Linked DNA regions of Saccharomyces cerevisiae S288C. The gene in region 3 interacts genetically with the main gene of each other region. Each region holds a gene or a part of one and is shown on either strand. Other genes may lie near its edges.

Evidence for each region.
Region 1: mutations in DPH5 (region 3) and THI3 together harm fitness more than expected from each alone (negative genetic interaction), as found in Saccharomyces cerevisiae (2 studies listed by BioGRID).
Region 2: mutations in DPH5 (region 3) and RSF1 together harm fitness more than expected from each alone (negative genetic interaction), as found in Saccharomyces cerevisiae (2 studies listed by BioGRID).

What each region holds. Positions count from the first base shown.
Region 1 is NC_001136.10:310,142-314,053, reverse strand, and holds THI3 (branched-chain-2-oxoacid decarboxylase THI3), read left to right. Parts: upstream 1-1,582; coding exon 1,583-3,412; downstream 3,413-3,912. Other genes in the region: putative serine/threonine protein kinase MRK1, read left to right, coding at 10-1,103. UniProt on the Saccharomyces cerevisiae protein: One of five 2-oxo acid decarboxylases (PDC1, PDC5, PDC6, ARO10, and THI3) involved in amino acid catabolism.
Region 2 is NC_001145.3:329,182-332,423, forward strand, and holds RSF1 (Rsf1p), read left to right. Parts: upstream 1-1,611; coding exon 1,612-2,742; downstream 2,743-3,242. Other genes in the region: FAR8 (Far8p), read right to left, coding at 1-1,050; EIS1 (Eis1p), read right to left, coding at 3,031-3,242. UniProt on the Saccharomyces cerevisiae protein: Mitochondrial and nuclear transcriptional activator required for respiratory growth.
Region 3 is NC_001144.5:500,760-504,228, forward strand, and holds DPH5 (diphthine synthase), read right to left. Parts: upstream 1,404-3,469; coding exon 501-1,403; downstream 1-500. Other genes in the region: APS1 (Aps1p), read right to left, coding at 1-290; TAG1 (Tag1p), read left to right, coding at 1,662-3,469. UniProt on the Saccharomyces cerevisiae protein: S-adenosyl-L-methionine-dependent methyltransferase that catalyzes four methylations of the modified target histidine residue in translation elongation factor 2 (EF-2), to form an intermediate called diphthine methyl ester.

The DNA of each region.
Region 1 (3,912 bases), on a different chromosome or scaffold from region 3:
TAGGTTTAGTTCATAAACGGGTTTATAAACATGACCGCAAAACTGATGTCGACCGAAAAAATCATGGAGGAACTATCGACATCAGTTATCCTACGACAGAAGTGGTTGGCCATGGTTCATTTGGTGTTGTAGTCACGACTGTAATAATTGAGACCAATCAAAAAGTTGCCATAAAGAAAGTACTACAAGATAGAAGATATAAAAATAGGGAGCTCGAAACTATGAAGATGTTGTGCCATCCAAATACTGTGGGTCTACAGTACTACTTTTACGAAAAGGACGAAGAAGATGAAGTATACCTCAATCTGGTTTTGGACTACATGCCTCAGTCGTTATACCAAAGGCTTCGTCATTTTGTTAATTTGAAAATGCAGATGCCGCGTGTTGAAATTAAATTCTATGCATACCAACTATTCAAAGCTTTAAACTATTTGCATAACGTTCCTCGAATCTGTCACAGAGATATAAAACCGCAAAACCTACTGGTGGATCCGACAACTTTTTCTTTCAAGATTTGCGATTTTGGCAGTGCCAAATGCTTGAAACCGGATCAGCCTAATGTGTCTTACATCTGTTCAAGGTACTATAGGGCTCCCGAACTCATGTTTGGTGCCACTAATTACTCAAACCAGGTCGACGTGTGGTCAAGCGCTTGTGTCATTGCTGAGTTGCTTTTGGGCAAGCCCTTGTTCTCTGGTGAAAGCGGTATAGATCAGTTGGTGGAAATTATTAAGATAATGGGCATACCCACAAAGGATGAAATTTCAGGAATGAACCCAAATTATGAAGACCATGTTTTCCCCAATATCAAGCCCATTACTTTGGCTGAAATATTCAAAGCCGAAGATCCCGATACTCTTGACTTGTTAACAAAAACTCTGAAGTATCACCCTTGCGAAAGATTGGTACCTCTACAATGTCTATTATCAAGCTATTTTGACGAAACCAAACGTTGTGATACCGACACTTACGTAAAAGCACAAAACCTGCGTATATTTGACTTCGACGTGGAAACTGAGTTGGGCCATGTTCCACTTGTGGAACGGCCCGCCATTGAAGAACGGTTGAAACATTTTGTTTCTGCACCTTCATCGTCTTTGTGATATATCTCATCCTTCAAATTTCTTAGTCTATTGTATCATTACTATTACATAATATGCATTTGTCTTCTGCACACAGATACACAGCGTATGCAGTTAACCTAACGTATAACGACCGTCCTCTTTCCTTCATTTAATTTCACTTGCTGCTTTTCTAGGCAGCGGTCGCCCAAATTTTCACCGGCCACAAGCGTATGACTGCATATGCAGAACCTTGGCAACTGTAAGAACTCCTATGTTTCTTTATTGCAAACAGTTGCTAAAAGCACTCACATAGAAGAAAAATTGATGAAACTTGCGATGCATTGAACAAATTTCCCTTTCTTCATACTTTACGGCATAGTAATCTTTGAACCTTTTGGTAAGCACCAAATTCGTAATTCATTATCGATATTGTGTAGAAAAGAGTAAAATATAATAAAACGAAAAAAAAAAGGTTTGAAAGAACATAACTACTAAAACGCACCGTCGTCATTCTGAAGATGAATTCTAGCTATACACAGAGATATGCACTGCCGAAGTGTATAGCAATATCAGATTATCTTTTCCATCGGCTCAACCAGCTGAACATACATACCATATTTGGACTCTCCGGAGAATTTAGCATGCCGTTGCTGGATAAACTATACAACATTCCGAACTTACGATGGGCCGGTAATTCTAATGAGTTAAATGCTGCCTACGCAGCAGATGGATACTCACGACTAAAAGGCTTGGGATGTCTCATAACAACCTTTGGTGTAGGCGAATTATCGGCAATCAATGGCGTGGCCGGATCTTACGCTGAACATGTAGGAATACTTCACATAGTGGGTATGCCGCCAACAAGTGCACAAACGAAACAACTACTACTGCATCATACTCTGGGCAATGGTGATTTCACGGTATTTCATAGAATAGCCAGTGATGTAGCATGCTATACAACATTGATTATTGACTCTGAATTATGTGCCGACGAAGTCGATAAGTGCATCAAAAAGGCTTGGATAGAACAGAGGCCAGTATACATGGGCATGCCTGTCAACCAGGTAAATCTCCCGATTGAATCAGCAAGGCTTAATACACCTCTGGATTTACAATTGCATAAAAACGACCCAGACGTAGAGAAAGAAGTTATTTCTCGAATATTGAGTTTTATATACAAAAGCCAGAATCCGGCAATCATCGTAGATGCATGTACTAGTCGACAGAATTTAATCGAGGAGACTAAAGAGCTTTGTAATAGGCTTAAATTTCCAGTTTTTGTTACACCTATGGGTAAGGGTACAGTAAACGAAACAGACCCGCAATTTGGGGGCGTATTCACGGGCTCGATATCAGCCCCAGAAGTAAGAGAAGTAGTTGATTTTGCCGATTTTATCATCGTCATTGGTTGCATGCTCTCCGAATTCAGCACGTCAACTTTCCACTTCCAATATAAAACTAAGAATTGTGCGCTACTATATTCTACATCTGTGAAATTGAAAAATGCCACATATCCTGACTTGAGCATTAAATTACTACTACAGAAAATATTAGCAAATCTTGATGAATCTAAACTGTCTTACCAACCAAGCGAACAACCCAGTATGATGGTTCCAAGACCTTACCCAGCAGGAAATGTCCTCTTGAGACAAGAATGGGTCTGGAATGAAATATCCCATTGGTTCCAACCAGGTGACATAATCATAACAGAAACTGGTGCTTCTGCATTTGGAGTTAACCAGACCAGATTTCCGGTAAATACACTAGGTATTTCGCAAGCTCTTTGGGGATCTGTCGGATATACAATGGGGGCGTGTCTTGGGGCAGAATTTGCTGTTCAAGAGATAAACAAGGATAAATTCCCCGCAACTAAACATAGAGTTATTCTGTTTATGGGTGACGGTGCTTTCCAATTGACAGTTCAAGAATTATCCACAATTGTTAAGTGGGGATTGACACCTTATATTTTTGTGATGAATAACCAAGGTTACTCTGTGGACAGGTTTTTGCATCACAGGTCAGATGCTAGTTATTACGATATCCAACCTTGGAACTACTTGGGATTATTGCGAGTATTTGGTTGCACGAACTACGAAACGAAAAAAATTATTACTGTTGGAGAATTCAGATCCATGATCAGTGACCCAAACTTTGCGACCAATGACAAAATTCGGATGATAGAGATTATGCTACCACCAAGGGATGTTCCACAGGCTCTGCTTGACAGGTGGGTGGTAGAAAAAGAACAGAGCAAACAAGTGCAAGAGGAGAACGAAAATTCTAGCGCAGTAAATACGCCAACTCCAGAATTCCAACCACTTCTAAAAAAAAATCAAGTTGGATACTGATCTGATCTCTCCGCCCTACTACCAGGGACCCTCATGATTACCGCTCGAATGCGACGTTTCCTGCCTCATAAAACTGGCTTGAAAATATTTATTCGCTGAACAGTAGCCTAGCTTATAAAAATTTCATTTAATTAATGTAATATGAAAACTCACATGCCTTCTGTTTCTAAAATTGTCACAGCAAGAAATAACATTACCATACGTGATCTTATTAAACTCTAGTATCTTGTCTAATACTTCATTTAAAAGAAGCCTTAACCCTGTAGCCTCATCTATGTCTGCTACATATCGTGAGGTACGAATATCGTAAGATGATACCACGCAACTTTGTAATGATTTTTTTTTTTTCATTTTTTAAAGAATGCCTTTACATGGTATTTGAAAAAAATATCTTTATAAAGTTTGCGATCTCTTCTGTTCTGAATAATTTTTAGTAAAAGAAATCAAAAGAATAAAGAAATAGTCCGCTTTGTCCAATACAACAGCTTAAACCGATTATC
Region 2 (3,242 bases), on a different chromosome or scaffold from region 3:
AATGTTTGTGGAATCATTACTATCATCGTCATCATTATCATGTGTTATTTCATATGTTTCTTTTATGTTAATTGGGACATCCTCAGGAGCCTCTATATTGTCCAATTCCCAGATTCTAATTTGAGATTTATTCTTACTAGCTATCAACAACCATTTATTTTTGAAGTCTATATTAATGATATCACTAGACGAAAACGGCTGTTCTGAGTCTTGTAATAGGTCCACATCTGAGATCAAAGATGCGCTAGAAATAGAGAACAATTTCAAATGGAAACTCTTTTCAATAACAAGGAGTTTGGACGTCGAAACCCAGAAAAATTTCATAATGTCGCTATCTTGCCCTAAAGATATTTTCTTTAAGAGTTTGGAATTCAAGTTTGCGTCCACTTGGTGTATTTCTAACGATTTGGTGTCTGCATCATAAAGTGCCATACAGTCCCCGTAGGAGCTGATAATGTCGACTTTCGACAATTCCGAGTGTATCTTGGATATTGTTTCATTATTTTCACGCTTGTTGGCTGTGCTAAACAAAGATTTCACTTTGGTTGGTGATGGTGACTCTGAAGGACCTTGCTTTGGATTGGGTTTGGTGTCCAAGAGGGCATTATTTAAAATATCCATCCCATTTGTCTTCGCACTGCCCTCTTCCTTGGGAGTATTCACGTTCAGTTTCTCTAAATCGTGCAATTCAGAACCCGCTTCTCTGCTATTTAATGACTCTAACTGATTGACCGTGTTAGGGCCTTTCAACAAATAAATTATTTCCTTCACATTTTCTTGAACAGCTAGCTTAGACTGCAGTAATGAATCAGGCACATGTTTTTCTTCCTTTTCACCTTCAGGAGAAACAGCTTTCGATTGTATTTGATTCAATTGATGCTTCAAATCTCTATTTTCGCCCTCTAGTTCTGCAATTCTTGCTTTCATTTCCGACCTTTCTAGCTCCCAGGTGATTCTATCTCTTTCATTCTTCGTGAACTCCGTTTGCAAGTAGTGCATTACACCAGGTAACGTGTAATGCGGATGAACATGTGCCTGGTTAATAGCCATATTGTTTTCCGGTCTAACTACACGCACTTACTTCTTTTGGGTTTCTTTATTAATGTTGTTGCTTGCTCCTCACATTTAGTCGTTCTAGGTGGCTTTTATCTAAGATTACGCGACGGGGAAGATCGCAAAGTTAAGACCAATAGAGTACTATACCATATCCCAACAAAGAAGCCTAGGGGATGGTGCAGCAGTAAAAACTGAATAGACTATAATAGATCATCCTACGTAAAACCCGAATAGGTTATCTCTTAAACCTTGTTTTCCTGTAAAGTTGTCCCGCGCATGTGAAGACGCAGAGAGTGGAGATCAATCTTAAAACAACTGAAGCAACTAGCACTTTCTTGACATTTAATAAGGAACTATTATCGCGTAAACCAAAAGAAACGCATGTAAAACATCTGCAAGTTACTCCATCATCTGACACCTAGAGACGTACGTATCAGAACGATTTGAGTGGAGGGGTACAAAAAGGGACTCTGTAGATCAAAAACTGTAATATTATCCTTTTTTTTACTTTCTGAGAAGCTATTCGAAAACAAGGAGATAGAACTACAAGCAGTTATGAAGGACCTAAATCCAGAAATGGGGAAATTTGCTACCACTAAAGGCCCTCCTCAAGACAATAGAGGCATGGTTGATATAGCGACACTGCCTAATTTTCCTGCCAACCGTAGTGGGACTCCTCGTGAGGAGATGTATCTGGCGCCCAACAAGATGGAAACTCCAAGGATACTTAATATGAATATGGTACCGGATTATTTGCAAAAAGAGAACTTCTCGCCAGATTTTTCTTCTGCTACCGTATCTGCCAAGTCATCTCCTGTCAACGTTACTCATGATGAGTCGCTTCCTCTGGGAACTATTGAATCGAATAGCACAAAGGATTCTAAATATGCAGTTCAACGGCAACAGCAACAAGTGGTAGATTTCATAGAGAATAATATGCAGCTACTGTCTTCAGAAACACTAAATTTTAGATCAGACATTATGAAAACTTTGGAGCTTCCCATTCCCAAGAGAAGAGATATTAAGGGAAACCATCTATCTAAACTATTATTTGCTAAATCACCTCTAACTATCAACACATATTGCCAATTTTATGACCGTAGAACCAAGCGAATTTGCAATCAAGAAATGATATGGAAAGATAAGAACAGTAGAGAGAAGCATGGTTCTAGAAAGTATCAAAGACATTTGAGTAAAGTTCACGATGTCCAGCTAACACCAAATAATTTTACCGAATTTTTTGATCATAATTCTCCACTTTTCCAGGAATGCTATGACTATCAATCTAGATTGATGCGTGATTTACTTGTTGAACCAGATGCCAAATTCAAAGAGAAGAAAAAGAAGAAAAAAGGGGACGTCAACGGAAATCATCCTGAAACCGGATCGAGCCTCATCAACCACCAGGTCCAACAGCAAAATGTTCGAGAACTTCAATCGAAAATAGCCATGAACGACTTGATAGAGATTCTTATCGATTTAAACATTCCGTTTTCTGTTTTAGACTACCAACCAATGAGAAATTGGCTCATCAAATATTCAATAATTTCAACAGATACTTTGCCGGATGAAGTATACTTCAAAACTGATCCAGGCGTGAATGAACTGGAACACAACAGTAGTAATTTAAACAATAGCAATAGCGGTACTCCTCATAATCATAATCAAAACCAACATACCAATTAATTAAAACTTGCTTTTAATCTGCATACATAAAACTTAGATCAAATAAATAAAAAAAAAAGTAAAACAACCATATATACTATTTCATAAGCAAAAGTAATCAAATTAAACAAAAAAAAGAAAATACAAATATTAAATTTAAATTAAGGCAATAAACATATATTATACACATAAAAAGAATAATTAAAGCGCAGATGAGAACTATCTTAATTATCAAAATTCTGTAGTATCCCACTCAACTGTTCAATATCTTAGCCGCACCATTTCTTCGTTATCTAGGCTCACTAGCAATTATTTTTTCTCTTGATTACTAATTGCATCCTGATCGTCTTCGATCGAAGAACCCTGTGAAAAGCCACTAAATGTATGTTCCAAACTATCAGGGCTAACTCCCAATGATTTATTGTTTCCTGCTTTCTGTGAAACCGAGATTTCTTTTGAATGCTCCGCTGATTTACAATCATTAGCGTCTTCTTTTCCACTTGATTTATTTCCGATCGAAA
Region 3 (3,469 bases):
TATGTGTCCATTGTTTCGACAAACCGATGGATAATTTCCAAGGTCAGCAGTTCATTGTCAACATCGGGCGTCATCCCAACAATAAAATATAGACTAGCATATCGCTTGTATACTACTTTGTGGTCATTATACTCGATGATGTTACACATTTTGGGTTTTCTTGCTAATATCGTAGGTGTCAAGTCTTTCACAATTTTTGCCTTTTCACCAGCGGACATTGCCGTGTACCATTTCTTTAATCTGATTTTTCCTTGCCTAGAAACCAGCAACAAATATTTTAATTGCGTCATCTTGTGTACCTGTGTATCCGTATATAATCTCCTCCAGGATCGCTCTTGTTCTTGGCTGAAATTGTTGTTATAACTTCTTGTTCATTCATTGCCATTTTTACACATATCGTTAGGGCCCGATTCGTTTGGGATCGAATTGTTACCCGACTGAAAGGATCTATTCAATATACATTATAAAAAAGAAACTACACATGAGCGTGTGCATTACCTTTACTCGTCGCTGTCGTCTTCTGTGGGTGGGACCCATGCCGCAGGTTTGAAGTACTCTTGGTCATTTGCCACATCTTTCCCAAACTTTTCTTTGTCGTCGGCAAACTCTAGCAGGTATTCCAGCTCCAATTCATGACATTGTCTGCCGAGGATGACAAGCGAATGAAGTGGCTCTCCTGAATCGTAATTGGCTAACTCACTTATGGTACCAGACTTAAAGCTTTGGGAGCTCGAGCCTAATCTACTAATTGCGACTGCTGGAGTATCAGGAGTGTATGCCTTTGTACCTCTTTTCTCTTCAATTTCTAATAATTGTTCACAACATTGAGCGATAGACATGTATCTTGGTGGTTCGTAGATTAGTCTGCCACGGGCCATATTTTCAATGCTTTGTTCCTTAACTTTGATGTCCAATAACACTAAAGTATGAAGGCCAATTTTTCTATTTTCCCAGATCTTGTCGTACCATGAGTCTGGTCTCCAATTATCGGTAAAGAAAACCATGGAAACGGTTTGACCGAAATTGTATAGTTGTAGGCCACATGCCCCAACTGCATTCATAACGGACGCATTATGAATAATTTCGACGGGAATTGCCTCACGTTTAGCTCTGAGAACTAAATCTGTGTGTGTGGTGGCACCAAATGGATCGCCCACGACCAAGAAAGCAACGTCTTCCTTATCGGCGTTATTTAGGATCTGCTTAGAACCAGTCTCAACTAATTCCCTATCAGCCAAGATGATCTCTTTACCATAGTAAGATTCTAACTCTTCTTGGCTTGCAGCCATTAGGATACTGGTATAGTGTTCTAGATAAACTCTAGAACATTTCTTAATAGCTTCCAAACCACGAACGGTAATGTCTGATTTGTACGAGAGACCAAGTCCGATCAAATAAAGCATTTTTCTCACTGTCCTTTATTCACTCTATATCCTGTTCGTTTTTACTTTGCTAACAACCACCAGAAAAAAATTTCATCCCATCGCTTAGTTAACTTTTTTTTAGAATCGCATGCATGGGGTTATTTAATTTTCTCTAAAGGTAAATGCGAAGCCCAGAATCAAAAAGATGAACTGTCTAGGGGAAGAAGACACAAGATCCTCCTGTTTTTGGGATTTTTTATTGCTTAGTGTAGTGCATTACTCCTTGAACCTTTTAAGATGCACACTAACTCACCCTTACGAGCGGATAACCAAGATCTAGAAACTCAACCACTGTTGAGACCAAACACTGAAGAAAGCCAACTCCTCAATGATGAAGTGAGAATCAACGTTGCAAATGAGACCCTTATTAAATCTCGTTGGCGGAGTATAAAGTGCTTAATTATATATCTGCTAGGTATTGTTTTATTAAGTTTCTTTGGCGTCAGCATAGTGCAGTATATTAGGGGACATGTGCCGCCCACAGATGTGATAGAAAAGAATCTAGTTCAAGTAACAAATTTCAAACTGGTGGAGTTTCAGCTTGATGGTTGGAAAGATAATATGGGCTCTGACCTGAACAATGATACAGGTAAGTATTTGCAGGTGTCTATACACTCTCAAATTTGGTTCGATTATGACAAATGGCCAGGAACGGAAAATGACTCGGACGCCAGAAGCCAACGTGACTGGATACGGTACATCAATGAAAAAGTTCTTAAAACCATTTGTATAGATCTGAATAACGTGACCACATTCGATGGAGATCTAGTGTTCAAGAATAAACTGGGAGATGTTGTTGGCATGGAACCCATTTGTTTTAATTTGGCTCACCGACAGATTAATAACCTACAGTTCAAAATTTTAGTTAAACCGTCTATTTGGAAAATCGTAAAAGTTTTGAAAAAATTTTGGAATAGGGATTTTGAATCCTTAAATATAAAATCGAATTTAGATATGACTATCTTCAAGAGAAAATTTGGCACGAGGTTTAATTTATTGAAACTTAATGACGAAATCTTAGATTGGAAAGATATTATTGATTGGGAAAAAATATCGGCAACGCCCCTTCGGATGATTCAAAATATGATCGATGGAATATCTCTTCAAGGATTTACATTGCGGGACTCCAGTTCTGATGGATTTCATGCCGATATGAGACTGAATCCGATCACGATTCTTGGAGGGGTGGACTGGCTTCACCTTCCGCCAGGCACGTCAATCCCTTTCATCAATTGGGAAATCAAGCTACCGGACTGTAACGGTGAGCCTGCTATCGCAATTCCAACCTTGTCTTGCTTTAACGAACCGATTAATCTGCACCACGACAAGGATAATATCGTCGTCTGTTTACAAAATGAAATTGAAGGTCCTCTGCCCGATGAACTACTATACCAAGAATGTCCTCAAAATAGTCTTACACCAATGAGCCAAATAGTGAATGCGGTCCTGAACCAGAACGAGACTGTTACGTTCGCAGCAAGAGGCCATGTCCTTGAAGATGGTATAGATAATAACTCATTGATTCCAGCAGACATGCTGGAGGATATTTTCCAAGAAGCATCGTTTATTCCCATTACTACCAATGCTACGTTTAACTCCAGTGAATTGATTCAAGAGTTTCAGATCAACGATCTTCAGCTACGGTGGGCAGCGCGCAAAAAGCTCAGTCTTGTGGGGACATTTTTAGGATTCTTTGATCTATCCTTCTACGAGACGCACCAGCAAGACCGAGTTCGCATCGATACCATTCGGGGACAGATCGATCTGTACCATAACGACATCAATTTCTTAAACTTACCCATGAAGCAATGGATCAACTCTTCATCGCACATTCTGCACGATGAGGACACAGGAAATACGCAGATGAAGCTTCAATTTGATCTAGAAAATGACGACATGGAAGTCGTCAATAGCTTGGAACTAACACGAACCCTGAACGAAATACTATTCCAGGGTTTTACAGTTATTCACTTTAATGCGACGATAGATGCGTCACTTACGACGGCATTGGGCCCGTGGGTTCTCACCGGGTTAGCCGGAGAGGG